2 linked regions of the Saccharomyces cerevisiae S288C genome follow. Changing the gene in region 1 together with any one later gene gives a genetic interaction. Each region holds a gene or a part of one and is shown in the gene's direction. Other genes may lie near its edges.

Region 1 (2,708 bases):
CTACATAGCGGCAAGATGTTTGTGTCACCTTCACATGTCAAAGAGGCGTCCAGGTGGTACTTCCCCATGCACTTGGAATTGGTTCAGCGTTCCTCCATGGATAGTTCCTTATTGTACGGTAGCGACCCCAACTTGGTGGACGAAATGCTAGAGAAACTTGCGAAGATTAAGTGTGAGGAGGTTAATGAGTTTGAGAATCCCCTTTTCCTGGAATCTCTCGTAGTGAAAAACGTACTAAGTAAAGTCGTGCCGCCCGTGTAAGTTTATTATGTATTTCGAGCATGCATCTGGAACCTATGTTTACATACGTACAAACGGTATTTAAAAGTTTCTATTCTTAGCGTCAATTGCCCTTTATCGTTTTGTTAACCAATTGTTGTTTTTATTCATTATGCCATGACCCGAAAAATGAGCAAAATCGGTCAAAGTAAATAGCTAAATATTTGGTCTAAAAAGTAAGAGAGAAATGAAAATGGCAAGGCTTAACTACTTTGCAATAGTGTATATAGACATTACCAATTGAGTCCAGCAACGAAAGATTCCGCTTGCACTTGGTCAATCATTTACTGACCATAATACGAAGTAATAGAGATGCTACTAAAAGATGACCATGCGATTACAATTTACAATAGACAATTAAGCGCAAGGACAATCAGTATGCATTCCATTTCTAATAGACAAGGTGCTATGAGTGAATTGCTAGCCTCCCCTTTTTATTTTGTGCGGTCACCGCAAGGGACAAAGCTTTTCTTAGAAAACCGTCTGAGAAGCATAACGTACGCCATCCCCTAGACATATTAATAATGCTACAGATACTATGCTGCTCGTCTTTTTTTGACGACCCTTTTATTGCAATGTGCAACTAATGGCAAACAACCACATAGTATCACAGTATTACATTGCCTCCACCGATGCGGATGTTAGGGCGCCAAGTCTGTCATGAAGCATGTTCCTGTCATAATCTTGTATGCAAAATACCGCGTTCTGCGCCACTGATATGCTAGGCAGCAGCAACCTATGCAGAAGATTGCTTTTCCCACGCCTGTTTTACGTCTCCAGGGCACTTGAAACAATGCAGCGATCGCCGCCACAACACGCCAAAGAGAAGCGAAAGTGGGCCTGGGCGGCCTCAGTTTCGGCAGAGGTAAACAACACGAACTGAACTGCCTTAGCTCCGAAGGGCAATTCCACAGGCACTCCGCGGGGCCCGGCCAAGGCCCAAAAGGCGTGGAATATGCGCGTTTTGGGGCCATAACACCCAGTACCACGGCCGGAACGGGCCATATAATAAGTTTTTCACTCTCAAGAATGGTAAACGTAAATAGGAACATCCCACTACCCTAGAAATTGCGGAAATTTCGCGCTTATCATTAGAAAATCTGGAACCGTCCTTTTTCCTCTTTCTTGCATTTCCCTTTCCGTATTATTGCCATTCTTTAACTGCATTTGGGGAACCGTAGACCAAAAGCCAAACAGAGAAATGTAACGTTCTAAAAAAAAAACAACGAAAAAATTGAAAAATAAGATACAATAATCGTATATAAATCAGGCTTCTTGTTCATCATTTTCAATTCTCTTCTTGCCATCCCTTTTCCTATCTTTGTTCTTTTCTTCTCATAATCAAGAATAAATAACTTCATCACATTCGCTACACACTAACAAGAAAAAAAATGCAATTCTCTACTGTCGCTTCCGTTGCTTTCGTCGCTTTGGCTAACTTTGTTGCCGCTGAATCCGCTGCCGCCATTTCTCAAATCACTGACGGTCAAATCCAAGCTACTACCACTGCTACCACCGAAGCTACCACCACTGCTGCCCCATCTTCCACCGTTGAAACTGTTTCTCCATCCAGCACCGAAACTATCTCTCAACAAACTGAAAATGGTGCTGCTAAGGCCGCTGTCGGTATGGGTGCCGGTGCTCTAGCTGCTGCTGCTATGTTGTTATAAGAAATCTCTGATTTTTTATAATATCTATATGGCTTTTTTCAAAATTTTCGGTTTTACTAGGTAAGTGTTTGATTCTTTTCTTTTCGTTAATATATTTTTACACATAATTTTAAATAATTTTTGTTATTTTGAATAGGTAGATACCATAAAAATAAAACACTTTTTACTTTAACGATGTTCCTGTGATTTCTCTTCGAATGAGTCAAAAATTTGAACTCGAAATGAATGTATTAGAGACTGGGTTTCTTCGAGTTTGCTGAGATCTTGGCTATGCACAATGTTTCCTGCGCCCCTAAGGTGAAAAAAACATGCATGCTTGTTTCAACAGACCAGTGTGCATAAAGAATTTCGCCCTTAGCTGCGATTAAAGAGTCAAGGCGTGAAAAACATAGGCGAAAGTGCTGACCGTTCTTCCCTTTATCTTTTTACCATCTTCGTTATCTGTTACCTGTTCAAAAGAAAGTGGGAAAGATATTGGTGTGCTACGGTGGGATCTTTTTTTTCTGCCATTTTCTATACTTTACTTCCACTTATAAAATATTTTACAAATTCAAGGGAGACGTGTGACAAAATAATAATCTAGAACTCAATGAACTTTTGTCCTCACTACAATTGCCCCTCGGATGGATTTGAACTTACAAGAAATATCACGTTGGCGCGCGCTAAAGTCGCTTGCCAATGCGCTATGAAATTTTCATGACCTGGCACATTTTAGCACAGTGCCATTAATCCCTTTATTATGGGCATTGATGCGACTTT
Region 2 (8,071 bases), on another chromosome or scaffold:
GTTAAATATCTCGACATTCCCACTACCTATAGCGGACAAAATCTGGCAGGTTTGCTTCAAATCCTTTTCATATTTAAAATTTGGTTTCAACTCATCTAATACATGAGTGAAGAACTTTTCAAATGATACTTTGTCAAAATTGTATAGTTGCAATGCCATTAGATTAATAATTTTCAAGCAAGCATCGTAGTTAGTATATTGGCCCACATCATCACTCTGTTGGTCTTTATTGTACGGATTTAGTAGAGTGTTTTCATTTCCTTCGCTGTTTTGCATAATTTCAAATTTCAAAGCGTTCCAAAGTAACGTCCAATTTTCCAATATAGAAGAGCCGCCGAATTTTCTAACGCATTCTAATAGCGTCAGAAGTGTATCATTTTTCACTACCGGTGAAGAAGCAGTGAGTTTGTCCAGCAAATTGCTATAAGCATCTTCGGCAAATAATGGCGTCGCAGTAATTGCTGATCGCAAAGCTGTTTTTAAATCTTGGTTGGAGATCTTGTAAGGATCATGCTTTGGTGGCTTGAAAGTGATTGGGAAATAGCAAAATAAGACATCAAATAAGTCTTCTTTAAAATTCTCCACGTTTTGCAAGGACGATGTGATAGATTTATTAAGTGCAAATGACAAGAGTAAATTTCTAGGGTCTTTTTCACCATTGGCAACATGAAGAAATGTTTCAATAAACAAATCGTTGATTCGTTTGACTTGTTCGGTCGAGGATCCATTGACGAAAAATCTATCAAATATTTTTCTCAAAATTTTAAATGGCCACAGTCTAGTTGATGCCAAATGCTGGCCTTGTTGATAGTTGTCCAATAATAATCTCAAAAGTTGGGCTATCTCGTTAATGGAGACATATTTCATTGGAGCTAATGCGGCGAAGCCCTCCAAGACTTCTTTTGCAAGCGCTTGATCATCAAGCTTAGACTGGTAAAACTGAAATATTACTGAGCATTCGTTTTTGGAGAGGTGGTCCTTGGGAGTTTTTGCTAAGATAGTGGTTAAACATGTCAACGCTTTCTTCCTTTCTACCTCATTTTCTGAAAGAAAATAATCTTTCAACGCAACGACAACTTCCAGCAATTTTATTGATCGGTGTACAATAGAATCCGTTACTGTGGAAGCGGTTTCGTTGGCCTTCGAATCATCAATATTCAGATTGGCCATAAAGGTGACGACTGCTGAATTTAGTTCGTCTGGTGTCATTGTAAGGCCCAATTGTTCCGCTTTTTCCCAGTTAAAACAAGTTCAATGAAAACTAACAGCTAATAACTAGATGATCATAGAGGTGACTCCTTCATTGCACGTAAAATGTACATAATCTACAATTCACTTAAATAACTAAACCAAATTTCAGTATTTGAAAAATTCATACCTATTACCCGCTTTTAACTTTTTCTTGGCTACTCACTCATGAAGGCCTAAAAAGAAGCTGCAAAGTGGTATTACCTATCTCGAAGTATGTCCTAGCTCTCTTTGACTCATTGAGGTCACCTAGAGTATACCATCCCTTCCAAATTAGCGGTATCAACATCACATACATTGGGAGTTGGTTGAATCGTTATGGTTGTATCACTAACCACGAAACGACAGCCACACAGGAAAATACATATAGAACTGTAGAAATTGGGATAAAGGATTAGGCAAATGAAGAGAGAAAGCAAATGTGGATTTAGGTCTTCATAATAGGACGTGACTGGTTAAAGTGTGAAAATTCTGGTTGTTTGTTGTGTTCCCATTTTAATAACCCTTTTTAGTTTTGTTATACATCAAAATGGCCTCGAGATTTACTTTCCCGCCCCAGAGGGATCAAGGCATTGGTTTCACCTTCCCACCGACAAATAAAGCAGAAGGTTCTAGCAACAATAACCAGATATCAATAGATATTGATCCTTCAGGCCAGGATGTCTTGGAGGAAATAAACGAAGCGCCACTTAACACATTTCCTCTTCACCAATCCGTTACGGATGCACCTATTATTGATATTCCATCTCCTACTGATATGTCTGAAGGCACCTCTCTAAATAATCAATTACTTTTACGGCAACAACAGCAACAAGGAACGGGGGAAGGTCAAGCTCTTCCGCCTACCTTTGTTGAGGAGCAAAGTGATCAAAACAAGATTTCAATGCTACTACCTGAACAAAAGCAGCAAAGAATGCAAGAATCAGCACCGCCGGACATTACAGCAAAATCAGTAGCAGAGGACTACGTGACTACTTTGAGACAGCAAATGGCTACAGATTGGAAAAGTCCCTCTGAATATGCTCTTCATATACTTTTTACAAAGTTTATTCGTTACGCGGAGAACAAACTAAATATGTGTCTACAGCAGTTGGACATGGCGGAACCCCCAATTGTAGAAATTCTTGGTGAAGGCGTTGATCCCAGCTTTGATGAAATTATTAAATCTCTAGGTCACATTGCAAAGAAAAAACCGAAACCTGTGATTGATGCAATGATGTTTTGGAGGAAGACTAAATCTGAAGCGGCCAACTCTGCTTCAGAAGAAATGGAAAAACTATTAAAAGAGTATGAGTTTGAAAAGGCACATCCCTCGCAGGCTCATTTTTTAATGAATAGGCGGCTATCAAGATCTTCCAGTAATACAACCTCAAAGTACAAACATAATAACAATACCAATAATCTTCCTGGCATGAAAAGGCACGTTTCCTCATCTTTCAACAACAAAGTTCCGTTAATCAAAGCTAGTAGCAGTAACAATAGCGCTACTTCAAGTCCATCCATAGCGAACTCACAATTGAAAAGTTTAGAGAACACAATTGAAGTAGCAAAAGAAGAAGCATTCCTTGCAGATAGGAAATCTCTGATTAGTATATACATCCTATGCAGGGTGCTAAATGAAATTGTTAAGCAGGCTTCCAGCAATGAAGAAGAAGATTTATCTGATAAGCTAGAAGAGATTGTTTTTACTCAGTTAAAAACTACTGATCCACTTTCTATATCAACTAGTTTAATTAAGTCTTCGAATTGGAATTCTTTTGCCGAACTACTGGGCTCTATGTCTGAAAAGAAATTTTTGTCAGTTAGTGATCGATTTATAGCTGATCTAGAAAAAATCCCGGCGTATATACCTCCCGAGTTAGAGCCAAGTACTCATTTGTTGATTCTTGGTATGAGATATTTGAAGTTAAGAAATTATCCGTTGGAGAAATTTGAAGAAAGTGCAGATTTCATGAAAAGTTTATCAAAGTTCTTCGCAAAGACTGAAAATTTTCCGGTTTGTTTGGCGTATGCTGAAGTCACTAACCAGCTATTGTTGCCTTTGGCTGGCTCGTTGACGGCAGAAGTTAATCATCCAACGTGGGTAGAGGCAATGTCTACTTTACTGAACACTGCCAAGAGGCTACAAGCTGATAGTAAGTATTGGGTAAGTGGTTTCAAATTAACAGTTTCTATTTTGTGTGCATCACCACCAGACCTATTTTCTAAACAATGGCTATCGTTGTTGGAGGCAAATGCCTCAAAAGTTAAGTCCAAAAGTCTGAATGAAAGGATTATCTTTGCAGTTGGTTTATCCAGATTAGTTTGGGTCTATTTATATAGATGCCCAGAAACTTTAAATAATACTACAAGGACGCTTACCAAGCTTTTACAACTATATCTAAACACAAGGAAAAAAGAGAATTGGATAACCGGCGATTTTGGTCTCTTGAACCCATTGACAGACGCGTTAATATCAATTGGATTTTTACATCCGAATTTTTTAATGGAACAAGCTTTAATTCCATTGATACGGCAATCTTTCAATGGCTCTAACCTGGAAAATATCAATTACGAAAAACTGATTTTGACTATAAATACATACAAAGGATTGCTGGTTACAAAAGAGAGGCCAAGGTTTCCTGAGGATGATAACAGGCTTTATGAACTAAATTTAAACAATATTACAGTGAATCAGGTTCAAGAAGCCTCTTCCATAAACCATACAGAAATATCAGATTACTTTTATAAATTATTCCTTTTATTGGATTCTAGCATCGGTTCTGAAGTTTGGTCTCCTGAAAATCAGCACCAAAAGCAATCATCAAACGCATTCAGCCCATTTGGCTTTAGCTTTTCTAATGACAATGACTCAAGTAAAAATAAGTCGCTTTATGTTATATTGTTCGGCACCATCATTGAAGCTATACCATGTTGCCTTTCTATTTCACGCACTATCCCATATAAATCTACAATTGAGATTTTATCAAGGAACGCTGTTCATTCGGAGGTAATTATTTCTTCTAGCAGTCAAAATGCACTAAGAGCATTAGCATCTAAGAAGAATCCATACACCCTAATCACATGGTTTGCTAAATATTCATTTGATTTCGATGAAAAGACACAATCAAGTTATAACATGTCGTACTTGTCATCAAAGGAGTACAACAGATTATTGATACTTTATGTTGAGCTTTTGGAATGCTGGTTAGAAGAATTCCAATCGTCCAATAAAGAGGAAAATAAAAAAGAAACTGGTTTGGATGGAATTCGCTTGTTGCCGATCGATGCAGAACAAGAGGAGAGTAACGAAACCGAAAAACTGGAGTGGAAAAATACAGTTACAGTTATTGAAGAAGTAGAAGGGAATGGCTTATTTTTTCTTTGTTCACACGATGCAAAAATTCGTAGATTGGGCATCCAGATATTGAGAATTATTTTCAAGTTTGACGAAGCGATGATGGAGAAAACAGAGAAATTGTCAAACGGGCATTCTAGATCATCATCCCATTTTGCAGCTGATCGCGGAACAAGACTTATTGATTTATTAAATGAGTGTAATACCACTACCTTAATTAATCCACATAAAGCAACATTAAGTGCGGTTGAAAAAACGAGATTCAGTCGACTGAATTCTAAATATAAAAGAGGTCTACTTATCAAACTGGCCGAATCAGAGTACGGAGTAGATGCTGCACTATGGCAAAGGGCTTTTCCTAAATTACTGGCGTTGGTTTTCAAAACTTGTCCTATGGCGATGGCATTGTGTCGATCTATCGTTTGTATAAGACTTGTGCAAGTACACGAAATAATTCTGCGGGTAGCAAATGATGTTGATTTCAAACTCAAAAATGTTTTACCGGAAACAATAGTAAACCAATGGAAGCTATATTTGATTGCCGCATGTACTTCATTAACTTCCACGTTTGACCAAAAACTGCATATTCCGTCCAATATTCCTCAGCATGGCAGGAAAAAAAGTCAACAAATCTTTACTGTTCAGCACCAAAAAATCAAATCTGCGAAATCAATCTTCAAGATGGTTCTTCCCTTATTAAATGCAAAGTATATTATGATTAGGGATGCTATAATAACGGGGCTAAGCTCAATGAATATCAACATTTTTAAAGCATATGTGGAGGCAATTGATGTATTTTTAGTGGCATGGAAAGAAGGGAGCTCCAACAACCAAATCAGAGTGGAGATGTTTCATATTTTGACGATTTTATCGCCGTACTTAAAATCGGATATGATATTTAATGACGAATGGATACTTCGGAAATTATCAGAGTTTTTGCAGAAGACAAAACAGTTCCTCGAGAAGGATTCTGTGCAAATCTCCTACGAATATCAATCGCTGCGAAGCTACTTTGCAGGTCTTATATTGAGCTACTATATGGCAGTAAGAGAGCATCCGCTAATAGATGAATTATTTCCCTTCCAAGCACGCGCATCATGTTTCAATTTCTTGAAGGAATGGTGTGGTTATGGTGAGTACGAGCCAATATCTGAAGAAAGATATGCCATAATGATAAAAAATACAGAGAGTGGCAGAGATAGAACCGCTATTACAACTGGAATAGAATTCCAAAAAAACAGATTGCAGATGATCGTGCTAGAGACTATGGTTGTTTTATGTTCAGATCCAATAACCCAAACATTGGACGATGATTTAGAGTTGCCTATTGTGATTTCATTCGATACTGAAGATTTACTTGCTTGGATTGAAGCACTATTTGACTCGGACAATACTACTGTAAAAAATCTTGGTGTGCGTGCTTTGGAGAATCTCCTGGACAAAAATAGGGAAAATTTTAAACTATTTAGAGATGTTGCTTTCCAATGTGTTTCACACCACTCACATCCTTCGGTAGCTGTTTTATATTACACTACACTTTGTAAATCCGTTTTGAAATTGGATAATTTGGTTTTAGATGAAGATGAATTAGTCTCCTTGGGTTTGTATGGTTTAGTGGCAGATAAGGAAGATACAAGGACATTTGCTGTTGATCTACTTTCAGCTGTTGAAACGAAATTACATAATTCTTCTTATACCAAGGTATTTAAGGAGAGACTTGCAAATTCTTCAAAGACGGTTTACAAATCAACTGCAAAAGAAATTTCTAGCATATTTGCCGAACTGCTCTCTCAGGATTTGTGTTTGAGAATATTTTCCAGTTTGGTTAGAATACTTGATTTGTTTCCTTTCGAAATAAAAAGAGATTTGTTGGTGCTTATGGTACCTTGGGTAAACAAATTTACATTGAAATCTTTAGAAGAGTTGGACACGTTTATGGTATTGAATAACCTATTTTACATCACTATTGATCTTAACGACTCTTTACCGAACGAAGTAGAGCAGCTATGGATTTCTCTTGGCAAGGGTAATTCTTTCCAAAATATACACGTATCGCTGGAGTACATCATAAATTCTTCAATGAATCACTGCAATCCATTGTTTGTTCAGTATGCTAGAGATATTGTATTGTATTTGGCAAATATTCCTGGTGGCATTGGACTACTTGACACTCTATTGAATAATTTAGAACCGAAATACATGGTTCCTTTAGCGAAACATACGTTTAATGAGCCAATGAATAATAATAAGTATTCCTTTTTAGGGAATATCTGGGAACGACTAAATTACAATGGGAAAAGAATCATTTTTTCGAAGGCGCAGCTTTCGATTATCTTTTTAGTCAATTTGTTAACGAACTTGAGTGAATCTGTAAAGGCGAAAATTCCTCTTCTACTACATATGTCCATTTGCTTGCTTGACCATTATGTGCCGCTTATTCACGAAAGCGCGTGTAAAATTGCATCTACATTAATATTTGGATTGGCACCAAGTCACGAAAAGTCTGAGGAAACCGTGAAACTACTAAGAAATAAGCATGCCTTATGGTCATATGATAACTTGATGAAAAAAGGTGCAAGATCACCAAAAACTATGGACCTATTAATTAGGAACATAATCTCTATATTCTCGGACTTAGATGAATTTCAAGTAACTTGGCAAAGAATTGCCTTGAAGTGGGCTACCACTTGCTCAGTTAGGCACATAGCGTGCAGGTCATTTCAAATATTTAGATCATTATTGACATTTTTAGATCAGGAAATGTTGCGTGATATGCTTCATAGACTTTCGAACACTATATCGGATGGAAATGTCGATATACAAGGATTTGCCATGCAGATCTTGATGACTTTGAATGCAATCATGGCCGAACTTGATCCGACGAATTTGATCAGTTTCCCGCAGTTATTTTGGTCCATTACAGCATGTTTGAGCAGCATTCACGAACAAGAATTCATTGAAGTGCTGTCATGTTTAAGTAAATTCATTTCCAAGATCGATTTGGATTCTCCTGATACCGTACAGTGTTTGGTTGCGATCTTTCCTTCCAATTGGGAAGGTCGCTTTGATGGCTTGCAACAAATAGTTATGACTGGATTGCGATCAGCGAATTCCTTAGAGATTACGTGGAAATTTTTGGATAAGTTAAATTTGTTGAAAGATAGCCGAATTATAGCAAATACAGAGTCTAGGCTGCTTTTCGCATTAATAGCAAACCTTCCGAGATTTTTGAATGCAATGGATCGCAAAGATTTTACGGGCATTCAGGTTGCTGCAGATTCGTTAATTGAACTTGCAAATGCGTACAAACAACCTTCTCTTTCCCGTTTGATAGATTCTCTAGCAAAGAACAAGTTTAGATCAAAGAAAGATTTCATGAGCCAAGTAGTGAGTTTCATATCTAGAAACTACTTCCCCTCGTACTCCGCTCAAACGTTAGTGTTCCTTCTGGGTCTTCTGTTCAATAAAATAGGATGGATCAGAGTT

What was found.
Region 2: of CWP2 (region 1) and TAO3, a mutation in one rescues a mutant of the other (synthetic rescue), as found in Saccharomyces cerevisiae (one study listed by BioGRID).

Annotation. Positions count from the first base shown.
Region 1 is NC_001143.9:257,583-260,290, forward strand, and holds CWP2 (Cwp2p), read left to right. Parts: upstream 1-1,670; coding exon 1,671-1,949; downstream 1,950-2,708. Other genes in the region: MTC2 (Mtc2p), read left to right, coding at 1-261; YKL097C (uncharacterized protein), read right to left, coding at 921-1,331; YKL096C-B (uncharacterized protein), read right to left, coding at 1,491-1,640. UniProt on the Saccharomyces cerevisiae protein: Component of the cell wall.
Region 2 is NC_001141.2:106,944-115,014, reverse strand, and holds the start of TAO3 (Tao3p), read left to right. Parts: upstream 1-1,777; coding exon 1,778-8,071. Other genes in the region: MET18 (Met18p), read right to left, coding at 1-1,209. UniProt on the Saccharomyces cerevisiae protein: Seems to play a role in cell morphogenesis.